Rhinolophus ferrumequinum: one gene and its partners. The protein of the gene in region 2 purifies or fractionates together with the protein of the main gene of each other region. This does not show direct contact. Links are inferred from orthologs where the notes say so. Each region holds a gene or a part of one and is shown on either strand. Other genes may lie near its edges.

The links.
Region 1: the proteins of BOD1L1 (region 2) and SETD1A purify together in Homo sapiens (affinity purification with mass spectrometry; 3 studies listed by BioGRID and IntAct, with this or other methods). This does not show direct contact. The link is inferred for Rhinolophus ferrumequinum from reciprocal best matches to the Homo sapiens genes BOD1L1 and SETD1A.
Region 3: the proteins of BOD1L1 (region 2) and CXXC1 purify together in Homo sapiens (affinity purification with mass spectrometry; 5 studies listed by BioGRID and IntAct, counting the BioPlex papers as one, with this or other methods). This does not show direct contact. The link is inferred for Rhinolophus ferrumequinum from reciprocal best matches to the Homo sapiens genes BOD1L1 and CXXC1.

What each region holds. Positions count from the first base shown.
Region 1 is NW_022680357.1:380,680-387,967, forward strand, and holds the start of SETD1A (histone-lysine N-methyltransferase SETD1A), read right to left. Parts: upstream 3,253-7,288; 5' UTR 2,585-3,252; intron 2,540-2,584; exon of another isoform or gene 2,419-2,539; intron 2,325-2,418; exon of another isoform or gene 2,168-2,324; intron 1,842-2,167; 5' UTR 1,827-1,841; coding exon 1,677-1,826; intron 1,461-1,676; coding exon 1,365-1,460; intron 1-1,364. Other genes in the region: ORAI3 (protein orai-3), read right to left, coding at 5,583-6,239. UniProt on the Homo sapiens protein: Histone methyltransferase that catalyzes methyl group transfer from S-adenosyl-L-methionine to the epsilon-amino group of 'Lys-4' of histone H3 (H3K4) via a non-processive mechanism.
Region 2 is NC_046288.1:80,190,102-80,197,486, reverse strand, and holds the start of BOD1L1 (biorientation of chromosomes in cell division protein 1-like 1), read right to left. Parts: upstream 3,113-7,385; 5' UTR 2,997-3,112; coding exon 2,763-2,996; intron 1-2,762. UniProt on the Homo sapiens protein: Component of the fork protection machinery required to protect stalled/damaged replication forks from uncontrolled DNA2-dependent resection.
Region 3 is NC_046302.1:41,097,449-41,105,623, reverse strand, and holds the start of CXXC1 (CXXC-type zinc finger protein 1), read left to right. Parts: upstream 1-4,908; 5' UTR 4,909-5,130; coding exon 5,131-5,133; intron 5,134-5,982; coding exon 5,983-6,101; intron 6,102-6,202; coding exon 6,203-6,303; intron 6,304-6,584; coding exon 6,585-6,820; intron 6,821-6,911; coding exon 6,912-7,091; intron 7,092-7,505; coding exon 7,506-7,529; intron 7,530-7,605; coding exon 7,606-7,851; intron 7,852-8,016; coding exon 8,017-8,124; intron 8,125-8,175. UniProt on the Homo sapiens protein: Transcriptional activator that exhibits a unique DNA binding specificity for CpG unmethylated motifs with a preference for CpGG.

The DNA of each region.
Region 1 (7,288 bases), on a different chromosome or scaffold from region 2:
CAGAAAGACACACACAATGCTAACAGGACACAGGACGCGCTGGCAGAGATGCAGACAGAGCGTACAGGAGCCCACAGGAGGAGACCTCTGTTCAGAGTGGGAGGCAGGGAAGATTGCATGGAGATGGTGTCACTCATCCTGGGCGTTTTGGACAAGCAGGAGTTCACCACCAGGACAAGCACTCAGAAGGCACTGGGTAGAAAATAACTTAGCATTTCCTGGAAATTGCAAAGTGTATGGAACACAGGTACGCAGTGGCAAAGGCGGAGGTGTGTCAGTCATATGTATCAATACGCAAGAACACAGACTTGGCAACCGGAGTAAACTCAGAGAATAGTGAAATAAAAAAGACAAAATGACAGCACAGCGGAGCATAAAATGGAGAAAGGAGGCAAGGAAACCAGGTGAAATGAAATGAACACGAGTCTACATTACAGAAATAGCAATGAAGTGGAATTATTAAGGTAAAAATATACGTTTAGGAAAAAGAGTCAGCAGAACTTTGTTACAGATGATGTGATAAATGAAAGGAGAATCACAGAATGGTTCCCGGGTGTCTAACTTGTGCAGCTGAGTAGATGGAAGGGAGAGCAGGATTAAAGGGGGAAAGGGAATTTGCTTTCGAGTCTGAGACGGCCGTGGGGCCTCCAGGTGGAGCTGTCCCACTCCCAGGCACCTATGTCTGGAATTCTAGAGACTGATCTCATCTGGAAACCGAGATTTGGAAGTCATGGACATTTCAGCAATAGTCAAACTCATGGGTGTGAAAGAGATTGTCCAGGCAAAGTGTACGAACTTAAAAAAAGAGGGGTGAGAGAACCCAACACACGATTTACTTACAAACGAAGAAGAAGAAAGAGTTAGTGAAGGAAACTAAGAACCACCAGTTTTCTAAGCCCAGCCTGTGGAGTATCCTGCCTGGTCAGGAAAATGGGAATCTTTGAGGAAACGTGATGGAGGATCCAATGGCCAAATGAAGGGTGAGGCACAGAGGACTCCAGGGATGGGGTTCCTGGCCTTGACAGTCCCCTTAACCGTTGAGAACCTGGGGTATCACACCAGGGCACTGTCAAGCTGTGCACTGTCTAGAATACAGAGTGACAGGGAGAGCAACTGAGCCTGTCTTTATAATATCCTTCAAGAAGTCGACACTCCTGCTTGGGACCCCTCACCTATACCTTTCTAGAATGTGAACCACACCTCCTGTCTAGAACAATCCCCTCACAGCTTCAGACACTGCTAGACCTGGCTGAGACCCTTTCATCGGAAAACTCCCTTTTATTGGCTACAGTACGGCCAGACAGCGAGGACGGACCCCCACCCCCTCCAAAGGCCACCACACCAGGACACCAGCAGACACATACCTTAAATTTAGGGACTGGGAGGGAAAAGTCTCTGTTTTTGGACCTGACGTGGCAACGGGGGTCTTGGAGGTCTTCGACCGGTATATACTTTGAGTCCTAGAAAGGAAAGCAGGGATAGAAAGCACACGATGTGAAACCACATTATGGAGCGCGAAGAAGCCCCTCCGGAGACCCCTCTGCAAGAGCTGGCTGCTGGGTACCCACTTTTTAAGCCAGCAGGTTATGGGCACAGACGTTCTGGGGGCTGCACAGAGCTAACCGGAGAGTGGGGCCGAGTTCCCCGGCTGGCAAGGAGCGGCCCGGGGCACTCACGTTGACACTGAAGTGGACTCCATCGTAGCGGTACACCTTTTGCGAGGGCCTGCGCAGGGCAGGGTCCAAGGCAGGATCCACGATGAGCTTGTAGTTCCTCCACTGGAAGCTCGGGGCCTTCTGCCCATCTCCCCCACCTTCCTGATCCATCTTTGCTCATTTACACTGTGAGGACAGAGGGACACGCAAAGAGGGGGGCGCGGGGTCAGGTCTCAGGCTTGCCTCCCTTGCTGCCCCTCACCGACCAGCCCAGACTCGGGGTCCTCGCATCACCCCAGTTTCCCCACCTCCCCATGACCCGTGGCGGCCCCCGATGTCCCCCCAAGCACACTTTCGCCACGACACCCCATTCTCTCTCCACCTCCCAACTCTCTTCGCGGACCCCAGGCCCATCTCGCGCCCCGGCTCTCCCCAGCGCGCGCCCCACTTGGCCTCGGCGCAAGACCCCTCCCCCGCCCCCTGGCAGGCCCCGCCCCCTCCCGCCTCCTCACCGGCCAGCGGCCCGGGCCAAGCCCGGCTCCCGCTCCCACACACCCGCTCGCGTCCCCGCGCCCCGATCCTCCAGCCAAGAGGTGGCACCTATTCGGGGCGTTGGAAACACCGCGAGACCGAGCCCGAGCCCCGGCTTCGGCCCCGAATCGGAGCAGGGAGGTGGCAGGAACGCGCGCCGCTGCCCTCTCCTCCCGCCCCGGCGCTTTCTGCCCCCCCCATCTCCGCGCACGCGCGGCGCGGCCCCACTCACCCGCTCGTGTCGAGCGGCTCCCCCTCCCCCCACCCCGCGCAGCACCTTAGTGGCGCGAGGCGGCGGCTGCGGCGGCAGCGCGAGACCCGGCCCCGCAGCGGTGGCGGCGGCGGCGGCGCCCCCCCACCACCACCTCCCCGGCGCGCGCACCAAACACCACCGCCACCTGCGCGAGGCCCAGCGGGCACAGTGTCCACATTCGCACTTTCGCCACGGGCGCCACCGGGAGACCCACGGTGCCGAGGATAGCGGTTTCGCCTCGGCCGGCGCCCTGTAAGGGTCGAGAATTGCGGCCCAGGGAGCCTGGAGACGGGCCGCATCCCCCGGAGAGTGGGTTTCTCCACGGCTATCCAGCTGCTCGGGCCTGGGGTCGTTGACGAATCGGCGGCGACGAAAGCAGCGACTAATCCCTGAGGAAAAGGGGGCGGGGCGGAGGGGAGGAGGCCAGCCCGAGTCGGGGAGAGGAGTGGTGCGTTGAACGGGCGCAGATTCGTCAGGCGGGCGGGGCGAATGGGTGGACGGGACGCGCGCTCTTTCGCTCCTCTTGCCTGCCCCTTCCTTGCGCGGCCAAAAGTCTAAGAGGCTGCAGATTCGCCACAGGTCCCGGCCCCAGCTGTTTCCTCCCTTTCCCCGCCTTGGTGGAGTCAAGAAAAGAATGCCTGGTTAGCCAAGCCCTGTTGGCAAGAGTCGGCCACTTTTTATGGATCTTTCTCACTAGCACAGCTCGGGGAACTGCCCAGTTCCGACCCGGGGGAGATAAATACGGCCCAAAGCTCCTCTCCGAGTCCCATGAGAATTTTCGGTCGAGCCCAGAGGCCTGAGTAATTCTGAGGAACCGGCCTAGCGAATCTGCGAATTCTCCTGTGGGCGGAGCCAAGGCGTCGTGCGCAGAGGGCGTGGTCAGAGCGTACCGAGGCCGGCGTCGCGGGGGCGCTTCCTGTAGGACCCACCGAAACGGGGCGGGGTGGGAGGGGCTCCCGGGAGGTGAAAAAATACAACGAACGGCGGTGACTCAGGCCGTTTCCCTGGCGCCTCGCGTAATGCAGGGAGCGGTTTCCTCCCGTTATCCCTCTTGGGCCTCTCGCAGTTTAACGTGCCCACTTGACAGATGGGGAGACTGAGGCCTGCAGAAGGTGCCACATTTTCCCCTGCTCGGCTCACCGTTGGTGCTTAAATCCGAGGCTGTCTTAAAGTTCTGTGGTAAACTTGGTGCGACCTAAAGGCCCTTAAGTGGGTCCTGTAAGAATTAAACTAGGTTTTACGGGAACTAGGGTGGGCTTGTCGACTCTCCAGGCATCACGGTCCCAGTGCCCGCCGTTTTCAGCCGGTGGTGGTGGTGGGGGGGGTGCCTATGCTTACGCGGTCCCGCCGCTGGAGGGCAGCACCAGCACAAGCTTACACCGGGGATCCGGGGCTAAGCCCGCCCTGACGCTGGTCACCCTCTCTTGGATGCAGGGTGTCCCGTCTCCAGATAATGGCATTCCCAGGAGGCACCTCTGCCCTAAGACCCAGACATCTCTATATACAGCTCTTGCTGTATGACTTCTCAAAGCTTCAGAGTCTTCCTCTGAAATGGACATTAATCCCCGTCACGCAGGACTACCGCAGGTATCAGAACAGCACAGGAAAAGCCCCAGAAGCCTGGTGCATGCAAATTCACCATTTTAAGTAACAGGAAAAGAGCAAAGGAGACTTGTTCTCAAGACCTCACACCCTAAGAATGGAAGAGAGAGGATTGGGACGCTTTAAATATTTGAGGGAAACGAAGCTGGAAACAATTCATTTACGTGGAAGCACGTGTGATGAGATCATATCCCTTTTTCTTGTCCCAGTGGAAAGGTAGGGGCTCCTTTTCTCAAATCAGAGATTCCCCATGTGAGGGTCAAAGTAGTCCTAGTTTTCACTGACTGGCTGTGTGGCTCTGGGCACAAGCCTGAGTCTCGGGCCTCAGCGTCCTTACCTTGGAAATGGAAACAAGAAAGACGTCTCGCGATGGAGGTGAGGTCTCAAGGAGATAACCTAAAAGCTCCTCATAGGTAGCAGTCACTCAAGAAAGAAACTTATACTAAATCCTCAGTGGAAGAGAGAGCACCTGGGCTCGGGAACCAGCGTGCCAAAGCCCTTTGCCTTGGAATAACTCAGTCTCCACCTGCAGAAGCTACCGGCCCGTCAGCACCAGGAAGGGTTCACACCTGGAACCCACTCTCCCCCAGCCGTGCCCCGCCCCCAGGTACACTGGCCTCTGCTGGGCTTTTGGGAACAAGTCGCCCGATCCCAAGAGACCTCCCCTTCACCCCACTCAGAGCCACAGGGACATCTGTGAAATACAATTTATTATACAAAACAAGGTGCATCAAAAATTCAGTGTCAGGATACCAAAGGCTCGGGAGGGGCTGGACCTTCTCCTTTAAAACCTCACCCCAACCCTTGATAAGGCAGTCAGTCTGGGGCTCACAGGCCCTCGGTCTCCAAAGACCCCCGTGCCCTCCACCCCCAATCCTGGCACAGAAGAGTGAGAACCAGTTATAGAAGCATCCAGTGTGGGTCTAGGGAAGTTGGACAGGCGCTTGAACCTCCAAAAACAGGGAGGCTCCTTCTAGGAGAGGCTGGACCTATGCCAGGGCAGAAACGCCCAAACCCCTCTCTACAGCAGCTACAGCAAGAGTGTGGAACCCATCAAAATCTGGGGATGGGAAAAAGCTTCCCAATAAATGGTAACCACAAAATAGATTCTACAAAAATAATAAAAGCCAGGGTTTGCTGCCTTCTGGGCAGCTGGGAGGGTGTGTCCTATACCGGACTGCTACGTCTTGTATAGGGGCAAGAAGTAGCTAAGGGTCAGCACCAAAGGTCTGACCAGGGTCTCCCTGCCTCCCCTCCACCTATCCCAGGAGCCTGGACTGAGCACTTTTCACTCGCTCCTCCAAGCCAGTATAGAGCAGAACTTACAAAGCCCATGGAGCAAGCTGACAGGGAGAATCCCTTGGAATGTGGGAGCTGCTCCAAGGCCCCGCCCACAGGACCCTGCTGGCAGGAATCTGGTCTCTACCTGAGAGTGGCCTCAGGAAGTGGCTCCAGGCAGAGTCAGGGCAGCGGTCGGCAGACCTGGGATCTGTGGTTGAACCCGGAGGGAGGCAGTGTTTGTAGAGGTGGCCATACCAGCCTCACACAGCCTGCAGCTCCCCCTGCAGGCGACTCAGCTCCTCTAGCTCCTGCATGTGGCGGTCTGTCTTGTGTGCCACCAGGGAGCGGTAGAAATGCAGAGCAAAAGCCACAAACACAAGCCCTACGGGTACCATGATTGCTGTGGAGGCCATGGCTGCTTGCCAGCCTGGTCCATGGGCCCCGCCGCCACAGACCTGCCGGGGTGGGCAGGCCTCAGACGTCTCAGCCTGTGGCGGGGTCACAGGAGCAGAGGATGGCTTGGAAGCGGGACTAAGGGAGGTGGCCACGGGTGGCAGAGTCCCAGGCACGTGGGAGGGTGGTACCACGGGGGCAGGCGTGCCCACGGGGGCCCCAATGGGCACGAACTTGACCCAGCCCACCAGGACAACTTCAGCAAGGAAGAGGAAGGTGCCCAGGGCAGTGGAGAAGCCCCAGGCCAGCTCCACATAGCGGTGGAGTCGCTGGTGTGGAGACTGGTGGACAGAGTTGAGGTTGTGGATGTTGCTGACAGCTTCAATGTGGGGCAGCAGACACGTGGAGACCATGAGGGCAAAGAGGTGAACCGCCACCAGCACAGTGGTGCAGGCACTGAAGGCCACCAGCAGGCCTGGCGGGTATTGGTAGTTGTTCTCCAGCTGTACCTCCACCATGGCCACCTGTGGGGACAAGAGACCACGGACTCAGCGCTCGTAACCTTCTCCACATAGTGGGATCTGCCTGCTGGCGCATATCCCTTACGTGGCCTTAGGCCCTAGAATGGTGGCTGGCGGGAGGAAACAAGGCTCCCAGCCTTTGTTGAGTGCCTGAAGGGGCAGCCTTGGCAAGGCTCTGGCCTGTTCTGGGTCTGGGTTCTCCCACCGAGCTATCAAGAGGGCTGGGTGACATGTTTCTGACGATCTTACCTCGTTACCACACACGGGTTAAAAAGCACAGGTTCTGGAGCTAGGCTGCCTGGGTCCCTTCTCAGGTCCACAAGCGGTGTTGTGTTGAGCAAGTGACTTAGTTCTCTCTCTGTGCATCAGTTTCCTCCTCTGGAAAATGGGGATTAATACCAGTACCTACCTGCCTTACAGGGTCGTTGTGAAAACTGACTGATGGTATATACATCAAGTTATCAGAATAGTGCAAGGCACGAGTCAGCACTAGGTGTTTCGGTGATTATTGGAGCCAGTGCCGAAGTGCAAGGCCAGAGTTTGCAAACTGGCACGCTATGAATTCAAGCCAGCTTGCAGACATGTTTTTCTTGGCTCATCCAGTGTGTTTCTTAAAGAATTAAGTTGCCAACTTTTAAAACTCAAGAGATTTCATATAAATATTCCTATTTCCAGATCCTCCAGAAAATCTGACAGACCTGGTTACACCAGGCCCATATTCCGGCGTGGACACTAGCAGCTAGAGTTGAGTCACAGCTGCTGCCTTGGGACAGGTCACATATATCCTCAGGCCCCACACAGCCAACTTGGTATCCATATTACAGGCCTGGCCCTTGCAAACATTTGATGATCCTGTTCTAAACTTGTATAAATTTGGACTCTAGAACCAGACTGCTTAAGTTCCAATACTGCCACTTACTTGCTGTGGGACCCTGGGCAGGTGTCTTAACATCTCTGATCCTGCTTTCTCACCTGTAAAATGGCCATAGTAACGGTACCTACTTCATTCGATAATAGAAAGATGATAAACACAGAAGCACTACCAGCCTGAT
Region 2 (7,385 bases):
TCGGCTGGGATGTAAGCCCTGTAACAGCAGGAACTTTTAGTTCCCTGCTGTACTCCTGGCATCTAATAGTGCCAGGTACATCATAAATATTTGTTGGGTGAATAAATTTGTATACTCCTGTCTTTGATATTCCTTTCAAATCTAAAAAGAAAATTATTGCCTGGGGACAGAGGTGCCATAGTTACCTGTTCGGTGAGCTCCCTGCCTGGGACAGAGTGATGGGCCACTCGACCTTCCCTCCCCACACTCTCCAGGTGCTAATTGGTGCAAAGGGGTCAGGATGGCTTTGTAACCTGTCAGCTTGCTCCAGGGGTCTGGGAACGGGAGCCTGCAGCACAGCAGCCTGCGGCACTGGTTAGATTCTGGGGCTGCCCCAGGTTCCAATTCTATGGGTAGAAGGGCTGATTTGGTCTGCTCTCGTTGGATCTCTCTCCCGGGGCACTTTGAGGGGTCCTATGGTCTGCTGGAGTGGCAGCAGACTCTGGTCCTTCTCACTCTGCTTTACCACACTGGGCAGGATGACGGTGCTGCTCTTGGAGAGTGTCTGGTGGGTGTCAGATGTCTTAATTCTTAACTATGCATGTGACTGACAATCCAGTTCCCGCTACAACCCGACACACTACATAACACAGGTCAGTCTTCAGGGTTCAATATCAAAGGCATACACAAGCAGTCTAAACTCTGAGGTGTTCTTAACAGATGAGACCCAAGGATTCCATTCAAGTGATGCTTCTTTGCACGAATAGGGACTCTTATTTCTACTCTGGCCCATGCATCACACTGATAGAAACGTTAAGCTCATATCAAAGACAACTTGGGCTTTGATGTTTTTTGAGACATTCAAACTTACTTTTATTGAGCGAGAACATGAGACCATACCCAGGAGTCCCACTCTGTTGGGGAGGGGGTGATCATTTCACTTCTCTTCTAGCTTCGAACATTAAAAAAGGGGACCTTACTCTGTGTTCCCTGAAACTATTCATTAGGTTGATCCACATCAAATTGCTGACAGCCGACCGTTTCTGAATTATAAAAACAGCATGTTTAATATACGTATGTGCACTTTTCTTGAGAGAAGGTCCTGGTTTTCATTACACAGTCAAAGAAACTGTGTTCCCTCCTCCCCAAAAGCTGAGCCTTATAATTGTATAAATTTTCAATTTATATACATTAACACACAGACTCGTAGATTCATGAGACTAGTAAAGTGAAACATGTACTTGCAGGATACAAATAACCAGCTTTATCTGGATAACATTTAGCTGGCCATGTCTAATCCTCTCCCATTAAAAAAACGCAATCAGCATTATTTTCAAAAAAGCGTGGCTGTGCATACTCCCTAAAACAAAGTGAGAAAACTGTATACTTCCTGTGGAGATAAATATCCCAAGTAAACTGAATTCTTTCTGGTGCAAAAACTCCAATGCTTTGAAAAGGCCATTGTACTTCTGGTGTACCTGGGTGGGGGGTGAGTCCTAATAAGGAAACATGTCCCTAGATTTTCATGGAGGTTTTCCCAGAGGACGCAGCAGAATTTTACGCAGTTCACTCAAAGCCTGGTGAACAGAGTCACAGGGAAGAACTGGTGGACAATGCAAACATCCCAATCTCTAAGAAACGAGGATCCTCACAACGGTCAAACATGCTATGAGAAAACCCTCACCCATCAAAACTCCCACCCAATGGACCCAACCAGATCTAAGCCAAAACAACGCACCTCCCCAACCCAAACAAACAAAAAGCCCCAACAATTTCCCAAGTGTTTCCAACTGAAGCTTCCTGCCTCACTTGCTTCCAGAATTCCAGGCTCCATTGGTTTTCCATCCATCTCACCAAGACTGCTCCTTTTTGGTGTCCTCTGCTCATCCTTTGCCCAACCAGCTAGAGTGACCTGGTTCCTGCTGACACCCCTTTTACCCTGACATTTGGTGCTAAGTCCCTCCTCTTTCCCAGCCCCTAACTCTTTTGTACAGGGAACCACTTTGCAGACCTTTGTCCTTTCCTCTTTCCCCTCCTGAACTCCTCTTTTCCTGTCCTTCGTCCACTGTGTCATCTGCTGTCACCTCTCCTCCGTCCTTTCCCCACTGCATGGCTAGGTTCCGGCTCTCTGTCCCCCGCCCCACTCCCTTCTCCCTTTAGAGAACTGACTTGGTCTAAGTTACCTAAATCAGACGGTCACTGGGAGAAACAGAAGTCCCGATCTCCCCAACCCACCTTCTCGCGCGCGGTCCAACTCTACCTCCTTATCTTTTGCAACGACTCCCCCCCGCGCCCCCAATCCAGCAACGCACACTGCGAACACTTTGATTCGATGACCACTTAATAATTCTCCAAAGGACAAAGGTATGACGCTTACCGCACAGAAATCTTCAAGAGAGGAGCGTGGAAACAGAGTACACCGCGGGGGGGAAAAACACAAAAAAACCCAGAACCAGACGTGAACGCACCGGTAAGTGTGTGCAGACGCGTCTCCGTGAGAACAAACGGCTCGGTCTTGCTCACCCGGACGCTCCCAGCGCCCGCGGGGCCGGGCACTCGGCGGCCACCGCGGGGAAGGACGGGGAACGCCGGCGCGCGCCGCGCCGACCCCGCACGCGGCACAGAGCGGCAGCTCGGAGGGCACGCGGCGGCTCAGGGGCGGCCCCGGCCGGGGAGGCCGCGGCGCAGCGGGCCCTTCCTCGGACGCGGGAGACTGCCGGAGGCGGCGGCCCGGGCCGTCCTCCCCTCGCCCCGCACCCCCGCACCCCGCGCGCGCCCCGCACCTTGGTGTCCACGTCGGCCAGGCAGTCCCTGCGGAACTGGTCGAAGAGCCCCTGGCTCTTGAGGTGGTTCACGATCATGGCCACGAGCTGCGGGTCCCCGGCGCCGGCCCCCGTGCCGCCCGCCCCGCCCGCGCCCGGGCCAGCCCCGGGGCCCGGCGGCGGCGGCGGCGGCTGCGGCTGCGGCGGGGGAGGCGGCGGCGCCGGAGGCGGCTTCGGCTGCGGGTTGGTGGCCATGGCGGCCTGGGCCGGGAAGGGCGCGGGCCCGGCCGGCGGGCGCTCCTGGGAGGCGGCGGCTGCACCGGTCCCGCCGCCCGAGGGAGGCCAACGGGATGTTGTTACGGAACCAGCGGATCCAGAGCAACCCCGGAAGTGAAAGGGAACCGGGGGAAAGAAGGAAGGAAGAGGCGGCGACAATAGCCACGAAAGTCCGACGACGGAAGCCGCGAGGGGCCAGTTCCGCCTGCCGCCTGCGCGGGCGCCCTCGAGAGGCCGGGTTGCGTCGGGAGCGGCGGCGGGGAGGCCGAGCGGGCGGTGGCTCGCGGGGTCTGGGCCGGGGGCCGGCGTCTGGAGTGCACCGCGGTCGGGCGTTCGACCGGCGCGACTCCCCGGGCCCGAGGGCCGCCTGGGCGCCGGCTCGGAGCCGGCCCGCGCGGGGCAGCGACACGCTGGCCCGGGTCCATCGTCAGTGGCGTTTAGGCCTGTTGCTCCTTTCACAGAGCAGTCGACAGCCATAGACATTTATAATGCGTACGTGAAACTGCGTGTTCTAAACTCTCCCAACCCTCTTTGTTCTCCTGTGATCCTGTACGGTGTTCCTGCGAATAGGTAGCTCCAACGGCCCACAGTCTCTTCCCCATTTGTCCTTGGCGCATCCCTTGTCCCTGTCCGAGCACCTTCCCGCCGGCCCAGACAAACCCACGGGCTTTTAGGTCTAAGGCTTTTGCAGTTGGTTACTGTGATAATAGGCCGTGCTTGTATAGCACGCACTGTGCGCCAGGCATGGTGTTAAGACCTTTTACATGCGTTTACTCATCCAGGCTTTGCAACAAGACTGCTAAGTCCTGCTACTAGCCCCAATTTGCAGAGCCGGACACTGAAGCCCGGAGAGATTAAGTAAATTGCTGAAGGCTACACAGAAAGCAAATCACCTGATTCTGGACTGAGTTACCTTTAAAGCATTATTGGTACACGATCAAAGCAAAATAAATGTTACAGATTTTCATAATTATTAAGTAGATGTAAAATTGATTGGAAATGCATCTCAGTGAAGTGGATATTACTGCTTTTTAAAATTCATGTCTGTAGATGAGTATGTCTTCTTATTGCTAGAAGGAGAAGGGTTGTACATCAGTTTATTCCTCTTTCTAGTTTTTATAGCTGAATGCCCCTAGAAACCCTGTGCTTATAAGCATGTATTGTACCTGGCAATATAGTTTTATCGTAGCAATGTCACTCAATTCTTGACCTCAAAAAATTAGATTTGATGATCTGTGAGCTGGCTATTCAATTAGGCCCTCCAATTTTGTTGAAAGTGAAGAGTTGAAAACCATCTGACTTGCCAAAGGATTTGTTTACCTAGTCATATTCTTTCATTTTTTCAGTTTCTGGGAAATATACTAAATAGGTTTTATCAAGACATCAAATGACTATGATTTAGACTTTTTTTTCCCAATGAGCTGTACCACGTTAAACCTGATATACTCACACTTTGGGGGAATCTAAACATTCTTTCTTGATTTTCATAAATAGTTTTGGATAAATTGCTTTTTGTTGTTAGCTGGTTCATTTTTGTTTTTGCCAAAACTTTGCAGCTCATTCAGTGTGAAACTGTCAAGTATGAAAAATGTTTTTCATATAACCTAATTAACAGAGTGCGTGTTCATCATCAAACTAGCCAAATTGGATATTATTTTCCCTCAGAAACAGTTTGACTTCCTTGTTTCAATTCAAATAAAGCATCATGCATTTTGAGGGAATATAATGAAAACTGCAGAAAGTCAAAGTCAGGGAATGAATCTTAAAAGATTTATTACTAAAGCAATCAAGATTAAAATGGTGTAAGATATAATTGTTTTATTCATTTTAAAAATTAGTTATGAAAACAATGTGAGAATATGACATGTTGCCTTTACCTAATTACCAACAACATAATACAATATTTTGCTAAATGTATGTTATTTATTAAGTGTAGTATAAAGAGCATGGTATTTTTTCAGTGCATATAGATGTATCTGATTTGGCTTTTTGGGAATAACTAAATAAGAATCTTCCATAAAAATTCAGCAAAACTCCACAAATTTAATTAGGTGTAATGATCAAACTTAAAAAATAATGAAACAATAAGGTATTGCTGCTAAAAATTAATTGGTTCAGTGACTGGAAAATAATTTTATGTGTGTGAACAGCATACAGAAAATAGTAAATATTTTCTAAAATGTAATAAGGTGAGAATTGATTATAACTTATTCACAATTTATTTTATAAAATGTACTTTAACTGCCTTATTGAATAACAACCTAAAAGAAATGACATATTTGTGTTTATGAGTCCAAGTTACACTGGGTATACATATACTGGATATAGTGTAACTTGAACAATTTACTACCCTTAGAAAACACTCTGGTTGCATTGAAAAGAACCAGGGTCACCGATCTTTACTGCTGTGGCTGTTCAAAGGTGCTTTTCTTTATACCTGAAGACAGGTACTAAGGATGAGTATTGTGAATACCTGGGCAGGGGGAATAGAATACATTTAAACCTTAAAAAAAAAAAAGCTATTAAGCAGTCATCGTTTCCTACCAGTGACATCTTTGCTTTGTTCTCTCTGTTTCTTTAGAAAGAGTAATATAATTGACAATAGTGAGGGTATGGAAGAGATGAGTTCTCCAAAAACAATTACCATTGCTCCCCTGCCCGACTGTATGTATGTCTGACTTCAGAACATCCTAACAAGGATCAAATACCTTCTTCCTGAATGTGATCAAGCTCTCATTTTATTTCCTAAATCTGATGCTAAGGTGACAGTTAAACAAACTTTACGAACACTTTGGGAATGAGTGGAACAGTGGTGAGTAATTATGGCAATCACTGTGGTAGCCATTTGTATCCTTGGGCAACAGATTCCTGCCAAGTATCTGGCTCCTGTGATTTCCTTTTTTTTCTACAGTCCAGCCCCCCCACCCCCCATCCAATCCAAACCCTGTTCCTGACGGCTAATCCAGTGAAAGTCAAACATTGGTTTACAGTATGATGCTCTCCTAACCCCAGAGATCCCATCTGCGTGTTAGGCACACTTGTTTGTTTCCTTTCCCTCACATTCCAAGACCTCCCACTCCAGGGCATCCCTAGCCAAACCAGGCCATAGGCCCAGCCTTTCATAATCAAGACTGACGAGTATCATTTTCTAAAGGACTCTTCATCAATCCAAAGCCCAGTTAAACTTTGGAAGTTCACTCTTCTATAACAAAACACACTCTTAGGTGGGGTTCAAAGCACTGTAAGAGGAAGGGGAGAGGACAAAATGTGTTATTACCTTTCCAAAGCAAACTTCATGGTCTCAGCTTTTCTATTTCTACTGTAGAATAAAATAGCCGAAGACGGTGGAGTTGGTGGTTGGGCAGACCATTATAGAATATTAATGTGGGAAAGGGATTGCTTTTTTTCCCCTGCAAGAACTTGAAAGAATTGTCACTCATTCTGGGGTCAGGACATGGGGATGAGGGTAGCACAGGGAAATGGTAGGGTGGAGAGGGAGAGGGTTGGTTCTGTAGCATTTGGCAGAGACTGGAAGCCCCCTCATCCCTGCCAGTGCCCAAGAGTAGGGGTGCTTTGGAAGTGGTAGCTGTGCGAGCATGTTACCTGGAGGTGCTGCGGAATTCGAGAGGGCAGCCGAGACTTAGCTGGTGGGACGCGGAAGCTGGGTTTGGGGCAGCAAGGTAGCAGAAATGGCAACAGAGTACTAGGACTGGGTTGCATAAGCCCCCAGGATATTAGAGCAGGAACTCCAGAGCAGGAGAGAGAGCATGACGGGGGAAGAAGATGGGTGAGGAAGGCTTTCTAATGAAGTGGGACATATCAATTACCGTCGTAGTTCATACTTTATATAATAGGAGAGTCCAATGTGGGCAATCAGGAAGGCTAGCAGTGGTTCCCAAACTTGAGCACGCAGCGGACTCTCCCAGAGGGCTTGTTAAAACAGTGCTGGCCCCATCCTCAAGTTTCTGACTGGCAGGTGTGGGGCAGGGCCTGAGACTTCAGATTTTTAACAAATGCTGATGGATCACCATTTGGAAAACATTGGACTAGACTAAACTGCACCCTCCAGGCCTAATCTGCTTTACCTATTTTTAATAAATAAAGTTTTATTGGAACATAGACACATTTATTGGGTTTGTTTAGTTTCCAGTCAGTCTATGGCTGCTTTTGCTGCAAGGACAGAGTTGGGACAGACTGTATAGCTTGCAACGCTGAGAGTATTTACTGTGTGGCCCTTTAGAGAAAACGTTTGCCTTCTTGAACTGAAAGGAGGCAGCAAAGGTGGGGTTGTGAGACTCTGAAGTTGGGCAGCCTATATTTGAGAACTTCTGTCTTTCACGAAATCACAAGTTCCTTCTCTGCTAAATG
Region 3 (8,175 bases), on a different chromosome or scaffold from region 2:
TCATGCCCCAAAGGAAACTCAGGCAACCCCCCAAAGATTCTTAGTCACCCAAGAATACCAGAGCAAAAGCCAGTGAAAGCTTACTGGACGTAACCAGAACTGTGGCACTTTTCCAGGCACACACCCCTTTCTTGGGGTGAATCCACTCCAGAGTGCCCTGCCCTTCTCCCCGTGTGGCTCCCACTGGTTTCTCTGGGATATGCTGTATTACCACACTGGACTGTTTGTGGCAACTATCTCTGCTACTCTGAAACAACTATCATCACCCCATTTGCTGCGGCCCGCAGCGGCCAGGAGGGCTCAGCCTGAGGGGGAAGGGCGAGGAGACGTGGAGACAGGAAAGCTGGGATCGGGAGGTCCACCATCCACGGATGGTGGAGCAGTGGCGCAGTCTTTATTTCACACACGGTTTATATACAGTCTTAGAACAATTGTCTACACAAGCAACTATTAGCAGAACAAGCAGGTATCAGTAGAACATTCTGTTTTGTGTATTGGCAAGTTTGTGTGTCTGTGGCTGCATTAGTGTTATCTTGTACTTTCTGGGAAGATGTTGAGGCAAGGCTTCCCATGGGAGTGACCTTGAGGCTGCAAGGCCCTTGTCAGCTTACAGCCTGCCCCCTACACCCATTGGCTAGGGAAGGTTAGGGAAGAAAATGTCCTTTCTTTTTTGGAGCTAAAGAGAATTTAGTCTCGGGCGGCTGGTTGGCTCAGTTGGTTAGAGTGCAGTGCTCATAACACCAAGGTCAGCGGTTTGAGTCCCACATGGGCCAGTGAGCTGTGCCCTCCACAACTAGATTGAAAACGACGACTTGACATGGAGTTGATGGGTCCTGGAAAAACACACTGTTCCCCAATATTACCCAATTTAAAAAAAAAGTTCAGTCTCTCATTTAACCAGCAAAGATTCTGTTCAGACTCTCAGTAAGTAATCCAATTAAAAAGCTGAAATTAAAAGCCGCCCCCCATTATTTCTTCTTTCCCTGGGTTGTCTTGACCCTTATCCACTTCAAAGATTTTCAAAGAACAATTCAAATTAAGTCAGGATCCGCTACCTAAAGCAAGGAGGCCCAGGATTCCAAGAGAAAACTCACTCAAGTTCACTGGAGGTGAAGAGGGGAGCCGATGGGCCTTTGCTTGTACCTCGCACTGGGCCTGAGTCAACAGGGTGGTCCTGGGGACCACCTGCTTCAAAATCCTGCCGACTGCTCCAAGTAACTGTCAACGTAAGAAACATCCAAACCTGTAAAGAATTTTTATAAGAATTTATTTAAGCCAAACTGATAATTGCCAGGAAGCAAAATCTCTAATGCTTTGGAGAGTAACAGTTTTGCAGTTTCTTTTATGCATTTGAATTAAAGAGGCAACATGAGGAGATTACATGAAGGCAGGAAAAAGCAAGTTGGGGATAGGATTACAGGATAGTTAAGATTATGTGCTCTCTTGAAGGTGGCTAAGCTTATTTCAAAGATGTGTTAACCTAGATGTACAAAAACAATGGACAGGGCTTGCTTAAGACAAATCTTTTACTAAAGAAGTTATATGACTGGGGTGTGACTACCCATCAGGACCTGCCCAGTTAGGAATTTGTGATCAGATCTCCCTGTGGGATTACTTTCTGTAGGACCCCTTTTTGTCCACAATGTCAATCAATCAACAATATCCAACAGTACTTCATTAATACTAATCTTTGTGCTATAGAAAATAAGTTCTCAAAGTGTTGTCTGTGGACCCCTTGGGATACCTGAGATATTCTCAGGTGGGTTGCAAGGTCAAACCTTTTCATAATATTAGGACTTTTTTTCTTTCTCACCACATTAATATTTGTACCAAAAGCGGTAAAATCAATGGTTGTTAAAACTGCAGGCACATTAGCACATATCTAGGCAGTTGCTCTAAACTGCACTAGTATTAACCACATTGCTTACCACACACACACAATATCCAGTCCCATTTAAGAATATCTTTGATGAAGCAATAAAATTAGCAAAAAAATTGCTAATTTTATTAAATCTCAACCCTTGAAATGACATCTTTTTTTTTTCCCAGGTGGGAACCACAAGTTTATTGGGGGCTCTATGCACGCGCACTGAAGGCGTCACACGACAATTGCTATCTTTCCAGTTGTGAAAGAATTCTCGAGGCACATAGAAATGCAGAAAGAAGATTTATTGAAGTAAAAAAGGAGGAAGAGTCAGCTGGGCAGAGTCTAGAGTAGACAGCTGCAGCAGGGGTTTTATATTTTTCTAGCAGGATGTAGGGTTTTATATTTTTCTATGCAGTCTGCAGGGATTTTATATTTTTCTATGCAGGATGTAGGGTGTCTGTCAGCTTGCAGTGGGTTGCCGTTGTAATTGTCTTCTGGGAACTGTTCTGTTCCCATCTATGATAGATGTAAGTTGCTTGTCAGCTTGCAGGATAGTGCCGTTACAGTTGGCTTCCCTTGGGAATCATTCTCTTTCCACAGCTAGCCTCCAGGGGATTCAGAGCCCAGTGGTTAATTTTTAAGCTCATTCCTGCTAACTCACAAGCTCGTTCCTGTTAACTCTTTACCTGTCTCATCATGGAAATTGGTTTGTTTGGCATCTCGGACAGTGATCACGGTTTGCACCTCCTCGATCAACTTCTGTTTCTCATCATCATCAAACTGCATGTACCATTTGGCCAGGCATATCTTGCCTGCCCTGTTCTGGATGAGGATGAAGCAGATTGTGATCACTCGGATTCAGAGCCCAGCTGCCCTGATCCCGAGGCGACTGAGCAGCTCCCAATACATCTATCATTTTAATATTACGTGTGATGAAATGAGCAGCATGAAGCACTACTGCATACCACAGTGGAAGGGTTGTTTTGAGGAAAAGTACTTCTATGATGGTTTGAGTTGTGAGCTGAACTAACCACTTTTTTTCATGGAACATCATTTTTATCTGAAAGAACAAGTTATTTAGATTTGTTATTTTGGCAGACATTTAAAAAAATATGAACCAAGAGAGACCATCACTTCAAATAAAACAATTGATGGTATTTGTTACCAATGATAAAATTAGAACTTTCATACACATGATCATTGCCAACAATATGCACAACTGCCCGATTCAGCTATGCATGGTCAAGTGGTAATAGCACATTTGAGTCTCCCACCCTGCTCTTATTTGCCACTGATAGCAAATAAGGTAGTAGCACAATTTCCCAGAGGTATGCATGGGAGGATAAAAGAAGAGCTAGGAAGGTTAATAATGTGCTTTGGATCTTAGAGCCAGTTAGGGTCTCTTAATACCTTCCCCAAACAATAGGTTGAATATTCTATCAAATTGGAGGTTCGCTTCTTGGAATTGGCACATTACTATGTATTTTACTATGAGCTTTACTGGAAGCAGAGTTTTGATCGCTCATTTATCTAGTTTCTCTTTTAAAAGTCCATTCCACTCAAATCAATAATCTAGAGTTCCAACGTAAATAAAAGGGAAGCAAATTAAACCCAAAGCAGAAGGAAGTCATAGTAAAGATTAAAGTGGACATTAATGAAATAGGGATGAGAAAAACAATGAAACAAAGAATTAATCCTTGGAAAATATTAAAAACCTCTTTTAAGAAGAGAAGGTCACAGAACCTATGTAGTGGCCCCTTTGTCTATGTGTCTGTGACACTGTGGAGAGGACAATGAAGAAAAATGTTAGGAAAGGTGGGGGTAAAAAATCGGACCTCCTAAGCCACTAGCAGCAGAATCCTCAGTAGCAAATAAGTTGCTACTACCTCCAGAGCCAAGAAATCCAGAAAAACTGTCAGCAAATGGTAAAAAATCCCATTTTCTCCAGACTCTTCTTCTCAATCCAAAATGAAGTCCTGACTTTGAATGTGGACGTTTACTATGACGGTGATTCCCGCTCTAGTGTGTTTGGGGGGTGATGTTTGGAGGGAGAGGAATATGGTTATAAGTGGGGAATATATAATGACCCAGACATGTTGTATTTCATTTAACCTTCACTGTCCTCCAGTTTAGAGCATTACTCTGAGGAGACGTCTAGCTCTCTGACCTGCACAGATTTTCTTTATTGTACACGATTTAAATTTTAAAAAGTTAATTTACCTTTATTGAAGCGACTGTTGGAGAGGTATGAAATGAGAACCAAAGTGGACACCACCAGGAACCAGGCAAATCTACATTCTGACAGTGGCGGGGTGAGGGGATGATTTGGTGAAGCCGTTTGTCTCTGATTTCAAAATCTGCTTCGGTCCGGCTACTTCTCACCAAAGATGGTCAGGCCACCATCGTTTATGGCCTTCCATTTTACTCGGGACTAATTCTGCGGGGTGAGAGTGCTCTTGCAACGGTCCAGCGACTGAACCGTGCAAGGGCTGGTTAAGGAACTGCAAGGAACACGAGCAGGAAAGAGTGGCGGGAAGTGACGTGGAAAACCTAATAGTGGGATTGCTTTCCTTCGCAGCGCAAGACATTGTGCCGGAGCCCCATTAACACATGCGGAAAGGAAAAGTGATTAAATGGCGAAACGAGTGCGACTGGATCCAAGTAGTGTTATTAGGAGCGGCCGCTTTCCCTGTGAACTTCTCTGCAGTGTGAACTTCTCTGCAGTAGAAGGTACAGGCGTACGGAATCGACCTTCAAGATAGCGGCGCCCGGTGAAAGCCACGAATAGGTCGCTGCCATGTGCTGCCTGGGAACGTACGGACTCGGCCATCTTACGGAATCACATTCCAAGATGATGGCGTCTGCATAGAAGTCGTTCAGTAGGCGCGGCCATATTGCCTCCAACTTTGAGACCGTACAAGCGGTCACCGTACGGACTCGCCCAACAAGGTGGCGGCGCCCACAAGTAAGCGCGCTCAGGCACGGCCATGTTTCCTGCGAAACGTATGGACTCGGCCGCCAAACGGCCTCGGTAGTCAAAATGGCGGCGCCTAGGAGACAGTCCGGGCTCTAGGCTGGCGACCACTTGTTTGTTTATGGAGCCGATGCGCTGGGCCTGCGCAATAGGAGTACGGTGCCCGGGAGGCGCAATCAGAAGCGGAAGTAGTTGTGGGCACCTTTGCAACCGCCGCGGACACCGTAGAGTGGTGTAGGTTCGCGGGTCGCTGGCGGGGACCGCGAAGGAGTGCGCAGAGAGTCGAGAGATGGTGAGTACGGGGTCCCGGGAGAGGGTTGGCGGTAGAGGTTAGTGGGTTTGGTAATGGTGGGGTCCTTCGGCAGACGCGTGGGGGGTCTGTGGTGAACCGTAACTGGAGTCTGGGCAGAATTGAGGGGGCCTGTGGAGAGCCTTAACAGGGTTCTCTGGGAGGAATGATGACTGTCGGATGGTCTGATGGTTTTTCTGATACGTGAGCCATGTGGGAATTTTGTGATGAGCCATTGTGGGTGTCCGTAATAGAAGTTTAGTGAGGAACCCTGATGGTAGTTCCTTGGGAGTCCGAATGGGGGATTCTTTGGGCAGAGTGATAAAGAGTTTGCGATGAGCCATGTTAGGTAGTCTGTAGTGCACCGTGGTGACTCTGTATCAAGGAGTCCATGGGGAACCAGGATGGGGGCGAGGGTGACTGTGGGGTTAATAACGCGGGATGTGTGGGGAGCTGTGATGCGAAGGCTGTAGCTGAATTACGAGATGTTTGTGAGAACGCGTTGTGGGCCGGGTCTGTGAGGAGCCACAGTGGGGGCAGTGTGTGGCGAGCGGTAGGGTGTTTGTAACGAGCTTTTATGAATGTGTGGCTAGGATGATGGGGTGTCAGCGAGGTAAGTATGGGAGGTCTGGGGCTGAGCAATGGGGGTTTATAAGCAGAGTAATGGGGTGTCAGGGGTGATTGATGTGGGGGTCTGTGGGGACCATGACGGAGGGATTTATGAGGCGCCAAGATGGGAATTCTGTTGGCAGAGTGTTGGGGTCTATGGTGAGCCCTGGTGAAATTATAATGGAGGGAGAAGATGCTATGATGGGGGTCCTCTAAGAAGCCATAATTGGGGGGATCCCACAGGAGGGTGACGGTTCAGATCCAGAGCCTCCAGATGCTGGAGAGGACAGCAAGTCGGAGAATGGGGAGAATGCACCCATCTACTGCATCTGCCGCAAACCAGACATCAACTGCTTCATGATGTGAGCCAGGGAGAGGTGGGCGGGACTGACAGCTGGCAAGGTTGGGTGAGGCCGATGGGTCCCGCCCCTCACATCTGCACCACTCGCCTCATCCTCTGCAGTGGGTGTGACAACTGCAATGAGTGGTTCCATGGGGACTGCATCCGGATCACTGAGAAGATGGCCAAGGCCATCCGGGAATGGTACTGTCGGGAGTGCCGAGGTGAGGGGCGCGTGGAATGGACTGGGTAAGCAGGTGGGGCTTTGAGGGAGGAGAAGGAGCCATAATGGGAGGCTGGGTCTCAGGGAATAGTGATACGTGTCTGTGGGCAGAGTGATTGTTCTGTAGTGAGCAATAATAGAGAGTCACACTGGAGGGGGCAGCTGTACTCTGGAGTAGGGGGACAGACCATTGGGTGGGACAGGAAAGAAGAGGGAAAAAGAGTTCTGGGATAACCCAAATCCCCAATGTCAGCCTCCCCGGCCTCATCCTCTGTTCTACAGAGAAAGACCCCAAGCTGGAGATCCGCTATCGGCACAAGAAGTCACGGGAACGGGACAGCAATGAGCGAGACGGCAGTGAGCCCCGGGATGAGGGTGGAGGGCGCAAGAGGCCTGCCCCGGATCCAGACCTGCAGCGCCGGGCGGGGTCAGGGACAGGGGTTGGGGCCATGCTTGCTCGGGGCTCTGCTTCGCCCCACAAATCCTCTCCACAGCCCTTGGTGGCCACACCCAGCCAGGTGAGTGGCTGTGGTGGCAGGGATAAGTAAGGTGATCCCATCTCAGGCCCAACTTGGGTTCCTGACTTGTGTTCTGGGCCCCTTCCTTCAGCATCACCAGCAGCAGCAGCAGCAGATCAAACGGTCAGCCCGCATGTGTGGCGAGTGCGAGGCCTGCCGACGTACTGAAGACTGTGGCCACTGTGACTTCTGCCGGGACATGAAGAAGTTTGGGGGCCCCAACAAGATCCGGCAGAAGTGCCGGCTGCGTCAGTGCCAGCTTCGGGCCCGGGTGAGCATGGGCAGAGCTGGGCAGGGTCAGGTTAGGGGGCCAGTGTGTTCAGGAAGAGCTCATTGAGCCTAGGATGGGTGGGCTAGGTGGGGTGGGGCCTAACTGCATAGAGACAGGTGGAAAGGAGCCAGGCTTGTCCAGGTGAATGGGGCTTGGCCAGGTGTGCTGGGCTAGCAGGGGAGACCCCCAAACCCAGGAAGTCAGGGTAGGGCCAGATGTTTCTAGGTCGTCAGACATGTCAGAGCAGGAGGAACATGGCTCAGCATGTCCTAGTGATGAGGGGTGGGGGGGCAGGTGTGCCTGGGTAGGCAAGGTAGGGGCTGGTTGGGGGGGCCAGGCACTTGTGGGAAAGGCTAGGGCAGGGCCACCCTCCATCCACCTGGGGCTGACCTGGGCCTTCTCCTGCCGGCACAGGAATCGTACAAGTACTTCCCTTCGGTGAGTCCAGCCCCCAGGGCGGGGCGGGGCATGCGGGCAGGTTATTCAGGGCCAGTCCTGAGATTCTGCCCTGCAGCTCTCGCCAGTGACGCCCTCAGAGTCCCTGCCAAGGCCTCGCCGGCCACTGCCCACCCAGCAGCAGCCACAGCCATCACAGAAGCTGGGACGCATCCGTGAAGACGAGGGGTCAGTGGCGTCATCCGCGGTCAAGGAGCCACCTGAGGCTACGGCCACACCTGAGCCACTCTCAGATGAGGACCTACCACTGGACCCTGACCTCTACCAGGACTTCTGTGCGGGAGCCTTTGATGACCACGGCCTGGTGAGCAGGCAGAGCCACCCAGGGTGGAAGGGGGGAGGTTACAGAAGCAGAGTATCCATAATGAGGAGAGAGGAGGCAGATGGTATGGAAGGCTATTTGGGAACTGAGTAGGTGGTGGGGAAGTCATGAGTGGGGCAGGTGGGTCACTGTATGCTTCACTTGCAGCCCTGGATGAGTGACACAGAAGAGTCCCCATTCCTGGACCCTGCGCTGCGGAAGAGGGCAGTGAAAGTGAAGCATGTGAAGCGTCGGGAGAAGAAATCTGAGAAGAAGGTGATGGAGAGGGTGAAAAGGATGTGGGAAGGAAGAGGGCACGGGCTGAAT